Saccharomyces cerevisiae S288C: one gene and its partners. Each later gene encodes a partner of the first gene's protein in a complex. Each region holds a gene or a part of one and is shown in the gene's direction. Other genes may lie near its edges.

Region 1 (3,189 bases):
AAAACTTCCTTTGCAAAAACTCGCTTAGCCACATCGAAATCGGAGCAATATTTACTTTGAAACATTGTAATGTCGTTTCCAGGTGATCGGGAGTATTCTTTATGGTGTAAATATGAAGCGCATAACTGATAGAGCTCAACACTTTTAGAATTATATGGATTTCAATATTCTCCAACTTTCCAAAATTTTCACTTTCGATTACTTCGGCTAAATATTGCAATTGAGAGGAAAGAGCCGCCAAATGTGGTTGTGCAAATGGCTCATATATTTGGTAAAATTTCTTTAGCAATTTATTTTGATATAATTCCTCCTGTAAAGTGTTCACTTTTAGTTCAAGACTTTGAAATTTGTGAGATGTTTTGGCTTCAATAGATTCCAATGTTGCTTTTAATCTTGAATTTTCTTCGATATATGTGCCTGCTATCTCCTTTTCATTTTCCAATGCAGATTGCAAATTACTTAATTGCAGTCTCAGTTCTTGCTCGAGTTGCTCATAGGTAATTCTTAAATTTTCATCCAATTTTTCTTTTGCCTGTAGTTCCTCCAACTCATTGTTTAAAGCCTTTATATTACTTGTGAGTAGGATATTATCATTAGTCAATTTATCAACAATATTAGATGATTTACTTTGAGCTTCAATCTGCAAGGCAAGGTCGCCGATTGTATTATTAGTCTGTTGCAATTGCAGACCTAAATCCGATATTTTTTTAGATAATACTGCATTTTCTTCTAATAACTGAGTATTCTCCTCGAGCAGGTCCTCTTGCACCTTCATAGCTTTATCATATGACAACTTTGTTTGGTCGAGTAGTCCCTGAAGAAGATGGCTCCTTTCTAACAGTGTGCCTTTGTCGAGATCCGGTGCCATTACACTATCTGAAGCATCTAATAGGTGATTGAAATTATCCAAATGAGTTTTCATATTACCATTTTCCACTTTCAGTTCTTTGACTAGTTTATCCAATCTTGAGATTTTAGACAATAGAACAGTTTCATTAGTACTCAGCTTTTCAACGGAAGTTTTCAGCTCATGATTTTCTATTTTAATTTTATTTAATTTGGACGCCAATGATTCACATTTTACTTGTAGATTCTTAATTGTTTCTTGCGCTGCATTACCATTTAGCAAACTATGCTCATCGTCATCTGGTTTATAAAACTGCAACGTATCTTTCTTGCAGAAAAGACCATAATAACCACCATTTGAATTAGCTTTCTTCAGGTCGATATCAAAGTAACGAATACCGTTAGCGCTTCCATCATTCTTTCCTAACGGTTTATCTAGTTCAATGCCGTACCATATGCCTTTTGCAAATTGAGTTTCCCCAATGAATTTCACCCGCCCCTTCATCTCGTTGACTAGAACTGTGTCCTGTAAGCTTATCTTCTGCATATTTGTGTCAACTTGAACACCTGCATTGCGCATTTGTCCAAGGCTGTACTGCGAGGTTGATGGAGATCGAATCTAGAATAGTATTATGTACTTTGCAAAAGTAAAGTACAACATAAAGTCTAGCAGCATATGAGTAACTCTCTACAGTTACGCCAACAATCTCAGTGTGGAGGTTAGAGTAAAAAGAAAGCACCTTACAACTGTACGTTTACATAAGTGACTTTTCAACATATATGCATTTTTTGTTAAGCATTGTAAAATACCCGGTTGAAAAGCGACATGAAAAATAACGACATGTTAGATTCAAAAGTACCTACTGCTCTTTAACAGCTACTTAAGGATTACCTGATAAGAGTAATCCACCGTAAAGAACATTATCAGCAACAAAATTTGTAATCCATCATGTCTGGAAGCTATCAACATTTATCAAACGTTGGATCGCGTGTTATGAAAAGATTGGGGAATCGACCCAAAAACTTTCTTCCTCATAGTGAAAAGTTCATTAAAAAATCTACGCCTGAGTTCATGAAGTCAGATTTAAAGGAAGTAGATGAGAAAACTAGTTTCAAGAGTGAAAAAGAATGGAAGTTTATACCTGGCGACAGAGTAGTAGTAATGAGCGGGGCTTCCAAAGGAAATATAGCTGTAATTAAATCTTTCGATAAAAGAACAAATTCATTCATATTAGATGAGAATGGGCCCACAAAGACTGTTCCAGTTCCTAAACAATTCTGGCTTGAAGGCCAAACATCTCACATGATAACAATTCCAGTTTCAATTTTGGGAAAGGATTTAAGGCTAGTTGCTGATATTGACGATGAAAAGACCCCAGGAAAGACAAGAACGGTGGCAGTAAGGGATGTTTCCTTCAATGGTTCCTACTATGATGCAGACTACAAAAAGGTAATGCCATATAGATGCGTAAAGGGTCAACCAGACTTGATCATTCCATGGCCTAAACCAGACCCAATTGATGTGCAAACGAACTTGGCTACCGATCCTGTAATTGCTAGAGAACAAACATTTTGGGTCGATTCCGTAGTGAGAAACCCTATTCCAAAAAAGGCAATACCAAGTATTCGCAATCCTCATTCTAAGTACAAAAGGGGTACCTTGACAGCGAAAGATATAGCTAAGCTAGTAGCACCTGAGATGCCCCTAACAGAGGTAAGAAAAAGCCATTTGGCAGAAAAAAAGGAGTTGGCTGAGAGAGAAGTACCAAAACTAACTGAAGAGGACATGGAAGCTATTGGGGCGAGGGTTTTTGAATTTTTGGAAAAACAAAAAAGAGAATAAATGTACCAAGTGTATGCACTCTATTTTTATATTTGATTCTCTAGTGTGATTTTTTTAATCAGTATATCCCCTTCACTATTCACGTAGTAAATAAGTTATATTCGACCTGTATATATGAAAGCATAAAGTAAAGTTCAAAGAATATTCAGATATTGATGTGGGCAAACGTGATGACTTCAAATTACAAAATCTTTTCTTTAAAAATAAATTATGTGCGTATGTACATTATTTTTAACCAATAAAAGGGTTTAAATATTTATTTACAAGATTAATGACTGCCCTTTAAGCGTTGTCTCTTTATCTCATTGTACTAATGCTAAAATCGTTCCTGTGGTCGCTTTGCTTCACCAGGATATATCCAATCCCAGCGGCCTTTTTTATGTATAATGGCTAGGATTAGAATTGCCGGTAGGTGCAATACACTAGCCATAAAAGTTTTCCTTGCATAAATGTTGGCTACACTTAGACCTTTATTAAACTTGACGTTATCTTTTAATGTT
Region 2 (2,789 bases), on another chromosome or scaffold:
ACAAGCAACAACTTCTTCAATTACAGACTGCCAGACTAAACGGAACTGCGTTAAATCCGGTCGATCATCCGGAAATGTTTTATTCACCGACAAACGATGCCTATTATGCTCCACAGCAGCAAGGCCAATATATGAAGTTTAACGAAAATGGGGCGGTTCCTTCACCTTATCAACTTAGACAAAGTGTGGTAATGACCAATCCTTCGGATTTGACGGCAAAACCATCTTATAAGCCAGCAGGTTCTTTCAGAAGTGTAAGCGCAACCAATTCAAGAAATAACAGTCTGACCACACAAAATAATATCTATCTGCAACAGCAGCAGCAGCAACTGTATAATTCTCGTGTTAGTGGGATATTAGAAGAGACAGATGTTGTACAGCCACCAAGTGTTGGTGGAATTTTGCCACATAGTGGTTCACAGGACGATTTAAGAAAACAATTAGGCTCTTCACATAATTATACCGTCAACTGAAGTGTAGATAATGAACGGACAATTATCGGATATATAAATTGATGTTTTATTGGAGAAATTTTACAAATTGCGTATTTATACAAATTAATTTATGTTAAATAGGATTTTTTCGAAGTGTATTTTTAAGTTTTAAGGCATATTTAACAAATGACGCCGATGAGAAATTGTTTTGCGGTTTTTCTTATTTTTGCATACGACGAAGAAGTTCCTTTGTGTATATAACAATTTTTCATGCTTCCAGCTTTTAAGAAAGCTCAGGCGCCTCACATCATTTGTATTTGCTGCCTCGTTGCCTATTCGTAATAATTTCACAATGTAGGAAGATGATAAATCGAGTATTGATACAGAAAACGTAAGTTTGTAGTCAATTTATGAAAAATCAAAATCGTCGATTTGGTTTCTGTATCTCAACAAGGTTTTCTTGATCTTAGAGTTGTCCACCCAAGTAACGTAGTCCTCCATATTTCTCGTTACGAGGTAGGCTGGATCGTTGATCAAATTTGGACCCACGCGAACATGCCCTTGTTCAATGAACTTGACTGCATCTTGTATAGTTTCCGCCATTTTTAATCTATGCATTATTACAGGTAATCGCCTCCTACAGATGGCACTAACAGTAACTTTATTTTCCAGATCAGAAATCTTTGATTTAGTTGTCAGGACACCCATAGCGTATAGCTTGTCCAGTAATAATTGCTCATGTTTGCGACGAAATGGATCAGTGGGAGGTAATAATGATAATTTATTGGCAAGACGACGAATATCACCGCATATCCTATTGTATTTATGATAATCTTCACGATTCTGAATATGATATGTTCTCATGACCTGAGTGTCCCGGTGGCCTTGGTCCTGCTTCCATTCAAGGAAGTCTACTTTTTTCAATAACTTTTGCTCATGATGCTTTAGTTTTCTAACCATTATTGGTTGTGATTATGCCTGGTGGTTTATCTATTTAGAACGTTCTATATTACTTATCCCATTGAATTTTTGTTGCGATGAGCTTATATCAGTGAAATTTTTTTCACTGGAAGTAGAGGGTAATGAAAGGCGAGCGGAAATAGCGAGGAGACGCTACGGTTATAGAGGAAGAATATCAAATACTAGTAAGTAAGGGAAGATCACGCAATAAAGCTATCGCAAATCTTACTATAGGAATTGAGGCCAACCTATGTCATTTATTCAGAGGAGGTTATTGTCGCAAACACTTTTTCTGCGCTCTCAAGTGGGGTCTTTACCACTTTATATATCTCCTGAAGTTCAGGTTTCCATAAATGCATTATCCATGCCCAGGATTATCAGAAAAGGTAGAACTTCAATGAATATATCACAGAATATCACAGTAAAGGGACCCAAGGGTGAATTGTCCGTGGAGGTCCCTGATTTTTTGCACTTGGACAAGGATGAAAAGCACGGTAAAATAAATGTTACAGTTCAGAATTCAGAAGATAAACATCAACGTTCGATGTGGGGTACAGTAAGATCACTTATAAATAATCACATTATAGGTGTTACTGAGGGGCATCTTGCTGTCCTTAGATTTGTAGGGACAGGTTATAGAGCTCAATTAGAAAATGATGGTAAATTTGTCAACGTTAAGGTGGGTGCATCTATCAAACAAGGATTGGACGTTCCTGAAGGTATTGTTGTCAAAACACCTGCTCCCACGTCTCTGATTATTGAAGGGTGCAATAAGCAGCAGGTCCTTCTTTTTGCTGCCAAATTGAGAAAATTCCATCCACCAGAGCCGTATAAAGGCAAAGGAATATACGTTAACGATGAAACAATAAAGCTAAAGGACAAGAAAATCAAATAACTTCAGGATTTCAGTTATTTTCGTACTCATTTTCGTAATTTTTTTTATGACATGTATCTTTTCTTATACTTTATAGGGAATACCTTGTAAATATCCTATGAAAATAACTTAAATGAAATTTATATTGGTTATTAATGCGGTGACGTGTTCTTGCTTGGTAAACATTTTGGTGTTCAATGAAACTCTTGGCTTGCAACCTTTAATATATACTAGTTTCACGGAATATGAACGCAATAAGTAAGGCCACAGAAGTTCGAACCTTACCTTTCATTTTATACAGTTTCGAAAAGGGAACACCATTTAGACTAGAAACCAAATATCCTCTTTAACGTTCTGCTAATGCTATATATTTTTTGATTCCAACGCTAATAAAGATTTTTTTTCTTGAGTACTTTTCATGTTTTGTTGTAGAGAGCCCATTTAAAACAAAGATGTTTACCAGAAAACAAAAGAAAAGATCAAATAAGTGAGTAAATGAAATGCTGTACCTTCCAATTTCT
Region 3 (3,058 bases), on another chromosome or scaffold:
TCTTCTTGACCTGTCATGAAAATGAGAATATCACCGCTTGAACAATCGTTTGCTAAATGAATTTTCACAGCCTGAGAAACTGCAGCTTCTACGTAGTCTTGAACAGGGTTGGAAGTATATATGGTCTGTACGGGGAAAGTTCTTCCAGGAATTGTGAACTGAGGAGCATTACCAAAAAATGCGGAGAACTTCTTCGCATTCATTGTTGCTGAAGTGATTATGAGTTTTAGATCTCTTCTACGTGCTAATAAAATCTTGAAAAAACCTAGTAAAATGTCTGTATTTAATGACCTTTCATGAGCTTCATCAATAATAACACACGAATATTTATCGAGTGTATCATCCAATAAGGTCTCTCTGAGTAGAATACCATCCGTTACAAACTTAAGTTTTGTACACTCAGAATCCGTCACATCTTCAAACCTTATAGAATAGCCTACTTCCTTACCCAATGGAACTTGCATTTCCATTGCAACCCTTTTTGCAACGGATATGGCTGCTACTCTTCTCGGCTGTGTGACAACAATAGATTTCCCCCTATCGTTGGCATATCCTTCTTCATATAAATACTGTGCAAGTTGCGTGGTTTTACCTGAGCCCGTTTCACCAATTATCACCACTACTTGATTTTCTCTTATCAATGATAACAATTGAGATCTGCAGCGGAAAACAGGCAGTTGCTCTTTAGTATGTTTAATGTCATCTTTTGATGGCGTGAAAAGAGCTGTATCGTCGCAAATCTTTTGGTTGCTCTTATCTTTTGCTTTATTGTTATTCTCCAAGCCTAGTACTTCCCCCATGGCAGTGTTCAAAACAGTGGTGTTGTCTCGAGATTGTTGAATATGTTCCATGTTTATCCTTCTCAAGGCAACCAGCTTACTACCTCGTTTGGCGTTCGCAGAAAATTCACTGTCAGGATTCCTAAATGGATTCACCATTGATAAAGCGGATACTTGGCTGGACGTCTCAGAGATGGACCCGATAATTATGGAAGTGGGCACTTTGTTTTCAAGAGCAAACTTTGATAAAAAAGGAGGGATCCATTCCATTCTTTGCTTGAGTGGTATGGGGTATAATTGAACGGTATTTCGTAAGGCATCATCGTTGTCGATATTCCTAATGACAGGTAGTAGTTTCGCTTCCTCAGGCAATTCAGACAGAGGTTCAGGCACCAAATTTCCATAATCATCATCATTATCATACCATTCTCTGTCCTCCTCAACTACTTCGCTTCGAGTCGGTTCATAGTCCTTCGTTTCAGCATGACCATTCTGTGTTTGCTGTTCACTATTTGGAGAAGGATCCTTCACGGTGGGCGAATACTGCCTCAACTGTTTGGCCTTTAGTTTATCTATTCTCTTGAACAACGTCCGTGTAGGTGCTGGTTTTTTTTGAACTGGAGAATCTAGCTCATCTTCATTATCGTCAAGGTCTAACTGGATCTTAAATTTCTTTCTCTTATTTATAGAAGGGGCGATTTTCTTTGGGCCTGTCGAGTCCTCTTCAGATTTATTCTTGAGGAGCTCCAGAAGTTCATTAAAAATGATTGGATTGTTACTGCTGAGTTTCGTCAAAGCTTTACAGCTGGCAATAAACTGTTCTAGATTAGTATTCGGCTTTTGCGCTAGTTTCTGCAGTGTCAAAAGCAACCCAGGCGTTAGTTCTTTTGACGTAAGTTCCTTAAATATGTCTTTTATCCTTTCCTCACGCCCCGAATGACCCATACCAGAGGTATTTGTATTGTCTTTGGGCCTTCTTGTGTTTTATCATCTGCAGTCATCTCATGAATTTTTCAGCTTTCACCGCTTTTATTATTTGAGAAAATAGAAAAGAGGGCAAAAAGAGATACTTTCAACAAGTTAAAATGGAAAATTAAAGACAAAGTAAAATAGCACAAGAATGATTGGCAGAGGTGTGTGCTGCAGATCGTTCCACACTGCTGGATCTGCCTGGAAGCAATTTGGATTTCCCAAAACACAAGTGACAACGATTTACAACAAGACTAAGAGCGCATCTAACTATAAAGGGTATTTAAAGCACAGAGATGCTCCAGGAATGTACTATCAACCATCAGAATCCATCGCAACCGGATCTGTTAACAGTGAGACCATTCCACGTAGCTTTATGGCAGCCAGTGACCCTCGTAGAGGGCTTGACATGCCTGTTCAAAGCACTAAAGCGAAGCAGTGTCCAAATGTTCTCGTAGGTAAGAGCACAGTGAACGGCAAAACCTATCATCTGGGACCTCAAGAAATTGATGAGATCCGGAAGTTACGTCTTGACAATCCTCAAAAGTATACACGCAAATTTTTGGCTGCAAAATATGGCATTTCGCCATTATTTGTATCCATGGTCTCGAAACCTAGTGAACAACATGTACAAATTATGGAAAGTAGATTGCAAGAAATCCAATCACGCTGGAAGGAGAAGAGGCGTATAGCCAGAGAGGACCGTAAGCGTAGAAAACTCCTGTGGTACCAGGCGTGAATGCTATATAAATATAATAACAATCGTGTAAATACTACTCTATAAGTACTTCGTATTCATATATTGATCACAATGCACGGAGACGCCCATTAATGTGACTTGAATATACCACATGAAAGCTAACCAATAAGCAATTTAAAAAGAGTTAAGTACAGCTTGGAGACACCCAAAGGCTTCTGCTTCGACAACTATTGACTATCGAGATGGCTTACAGTGACTACAGCGATGGAGCAGACGACATGCCGGACTTTCACGACGAAGGTGAATTTGATGATTATTTGAATGACGATGAATATGATCTAATGAACGAGGTATTTCCTACTCTAAAGGCGCAGTTACAGGATTACCAAGGCTGGGATAATCTTTCACTTAAGCTAGCTTTGTTTGACAACAATTTCGATTTGGAAAGCACGCTGGCGGAATTGAAGAAAACTTTGAAGAAGAAGAAGACACCAAAGAAGCCAATTGCTGCTGCTAATGGGAGTGCGAATGTTACTCAAAAACTGGCAAACATCTCAATTTCGCAACAAAGGCCAAATGATCGGCTTCCAGACTGGCTTGACGAGGAAGA
Region 4 (2,377 bases), on another chromosome or scaffold:
AACCACGCCAAGTGTTTGCCCAATTTGAAATTTCAGGCTCACCTCTATCATTATCAAGACCTGCATTTTCTGGATGAACATTCTTATACCCAACAGAGTATAGTGAAATAGCCCTCATATCCAATGAGTTATGGAGTTGTGCCATTTTATCTACGAGTTCAGACTGTTCTTCATTAGCATGAAATTTTTCAGGAACGGGGCTCTCAGGTTGATCTTTACCATATTTTTCAATATTCCCGCCTTCTTCGTCATCTGCACCTTCTTCGCCATCACGGACCTTGGAAAACTTATATGAAGTGCTGCACCCAATGACGGTCTTTGCCCTGTTTCTATAGTGCACTGGTTTGGATGTCATAGATAAATATGGTGTGTCGAACGGCTGGGAATTAAAATCACCACAGAAAAAAGGAAACCAATGAGATAAATCCCCATCATTTTCGTTCTGTAAAACATTCACACGATGCATGAATTCCTTCATCTTTTTTAAAACAATATAGCATTGTCTTGTTCGTTCATAAGTACCAAATGGATGCCAAAATAGATGCGTAGTGCCGATCAAGATACCGCATTTTTTAGACGATTTTTTACCCAAATTCGACAGTACTTTCTCAGAAAACTTCAAGGCTAAGACTAATCCCACGTTGTTTGTCGTTGTTCTAGTGGAAATGCTTTCTGAACTTTCTTTATCATAGTCGATTAGCATTTTGTCAACCTGGTGAAATAATTCTCTCCTCCACATTATCGCGACACCATGGTTTTTTGTAGCATTTCTATAATATTGTCCATCGTATCCCAATTTACTGAATTCATCTTTCCAAAAGCTTTGAAACTGAATATGATCAATCTCTTGCAAACAAATGACATCGGAATTATAATATTTAAACTCGTTTAAGAGAACTTTAGAACGCCTGTACCATTTTAAAGCGTCACCACTATCCGGGAACAGCTTTCTGCGGATTAGAGCTTGCGCCAAGCAATTATAAGTCATTAGCTTGAATCTAAATCCAGTTACTGGCTCTGCCTCATGTAGAGATAGGAAAGGTCTTCTGATAAAATGCAGCTCTGGCGGGCAGTCCGGATCAACACCTTGAGCCAACATTGCATCTCTTTTAGCCTTTCTCATAACTTCCCTTTCGGCACGAACCTTAGCGATATGTTCTGGGGTCACTATGGGCTTCGATTTTTTACCTTTCTTGCCCTTCTTTTTATGTTGAAGTAACGAATCATCATTGGTTTGATGTTTTGCATCTTTTACAGATTTATTAATTTCTACTTCTTGGTCGGGCGCAACATCTGGGGCAACCACTTTGACTTCTTTGTCTTGTGTCATATTTACTTAATACTCTTAACTACAATTAAGAAGCTATAAGGAGACTACAATCTCATCTTCTTGCAACACTACTTTTCCTTTCCTCTTGCTTTAGTGCAACCATTTTTTGAAAAATGAATGGTCTTTCTGCACGAAATATCTCTCGAAGAGCTTTTCTAGATATTAAGGATAAAGTATATCATCCCAAAAGTTAGGTGATGGAATCAATATTGATGGACCAGCTAAAACACGTTGAAAGCAGATATCAGGAATGGTGTTTTACAAAGTCACGTTGAGTAGGTCGCTTATCGGTGTGCCACACACAACGAAGAGCATTGTCAAAAGTTTGGGTTTAGGTAAAAGAGGGTCCATAGTCTACAAAAAAGTAAACCCGGCCATAGCTGGCTCCCTAGCTAAAGTAAAAGAGTTAGTCAAAGTAGAAGTAACAGAACATGAATTAACACCATCGCAGCAACGAGAGTTGAGAAAGTCAAACCCTGGGTTTATAGTGGAGAAGAGAACCATCGACTGAAACAGCGAAAATAAGGCAACTGGATTTCCTTTCTTCTTGATATTCCTGACTTATATATGTATATAGTATTATTTTTTCCTGCATAGGCACATATGTTAATAGTAATTTATGCAATTTTTGATACAAAGAAATCAATACACTATCTCGATTTCATATTTTATGTATGTATATATTTACAAGAAGAAAATTATGCATGGTCTATTGAATTTTATATTTGGAAAAAGAGTCCCTTTTTATAGCTTTTCCAACTCTAACATTCCTTCTAAACAGTCAATTTTTGAAATTTTACAATTCTTCACGATATCTCCAATCATCGGATAATGCATAGAACTTGGATGCAATTTTAATGTTCCTCTAGCGAACGATAAGTCTGGAAAAACACATCCAGTAAATCCGTTCTGCGGTACTGATGTTACCATTACATCGAAAGTCCTTTCTGGCTCTAGTTTGGTTAGCTTTTTTAAATAATTCAGTGTCCAGTACGTCGACGAATTACGGCTAGCCCTTTTTAAAATATCCGCTCGAGATTGAATTGG

What was found.
Region 2: MRPL40 (region 1) and MRPL6 share a complex: the UniProt entries of both Saccharomyces cerevisiae proteins name them as parts of the mitochondrial large ribosomal subunit.
Region 3: MRPL40 (region 1) and MRPL20 share a complex: the UniProt entries of both Saccharomyces cerevisiae proteins name them as parts of the mitochondrial large ribosomal subunit.
Region 4: MRPL40 (region 1) and MRPL33 share a complex: the UniProt entries of both Saccharomyces cerevisiae proteins name them as parts of the mitochondrial large ribosomal subunit.

The regions. Positions count from the first base shown.
Region 1 is NC_001148.4:221,348-224,536, forward strand, and holds MRPL40 (mitochondrial 54S ribosomal protein uL24m MRPL40), read left to right. Parts: upstream 1-1,795; coding exon 1,796-2,689; downstream 2,690-3,189. Other genes in the region: NIP100 (Nip100p), read right to left, coding at 1-1,426; COX10 (protoheme IX farnesyltransferase), read right to left, coding at 3,006-3,189. UniProt on the Saccharomyces cerevisiae protein: Component of the mitochondrial ribosome (mitoribosome), a dedicated translation machinery responsible for the synthesis of mitochondrial genome-encoded proteins, including at least some of the essential transmembrane subunits of the mitochondrial respiratory chain.
Region 2 is NC_001140.6:392,139-394,927, reverse strand, and holds MRPL6 (mitochondrial 54S ribosomal protein uL6m MRPL6), read left to right. Parts: upstream 1-1,644; coding exon 1,645-2,289; downstream 2,290-2,789. Other genes in the region: SKG6 (Skg6p), read left to right, coding at 1-473; snoRNA-binding rRNA-processing protein IMP3, read right to left, coding at 843-1,394. UniProt on the Saccharomyces cerevisiae protein: Component of the mitochondrial ribosome (mitoribosome), a dedicated translation machinery responsible for the synthesis of mitochondrial genome-encoded proteins, including at least some of the essential transmembrane subunits of the mitochondrial respiratory chain.
Region 3 is NC_001143.9:598,523-601,580, reverse strand, and holds MRPL20 (mitochondrial 54S ribosomal protein mL58 MRPL20), read left to right. Parts: upstream 1-1,899; coding exon 1,900-2,487; downstream 2,488-3,058. Other genes in the region: DEAH-box RNA helicase PRP16, read right to left, coding at 1-1,724; ribosome dissociation factor GTPase HBS1, read left to right, coding at 2,691-3,058. UniProt on the Saccharomyces cerevisiae protein: Component of the mitochondrial ribosome (mitoribosome), a dedicated translation machinery responsible for the synthesis of mitochondrial genome-encoded proteins, including at least some of the essential transmembrane subunits of the mitochondrial respiratory chain.
Region 4 is NC_001145.3:840,362-842,738, forward strand, and holds MRPL33 (mitochondrial 54S ribosomal protein uL30m MRPL33), read left to right. Parts: upstream 1-1,580; coding exon 1,581-1,841; downstream 1,842-2,377. Other genes in the region: NGL2 (RNA exonuclease), read right to left, coding at 1-1,330; DSS1 (exoribonuclease II), read right to left, coding at 2,075-2,377. UniProt on the Saccharomyces cerevisiae protein: Component of the mitochondrial ribosome (mitoribosome), a dedicated translation machinery responsible for the synthesis of mitochondrial genome-encoded proteins, including at least some of the essential transmembrane subunits of the mitochondrial respiratory chain.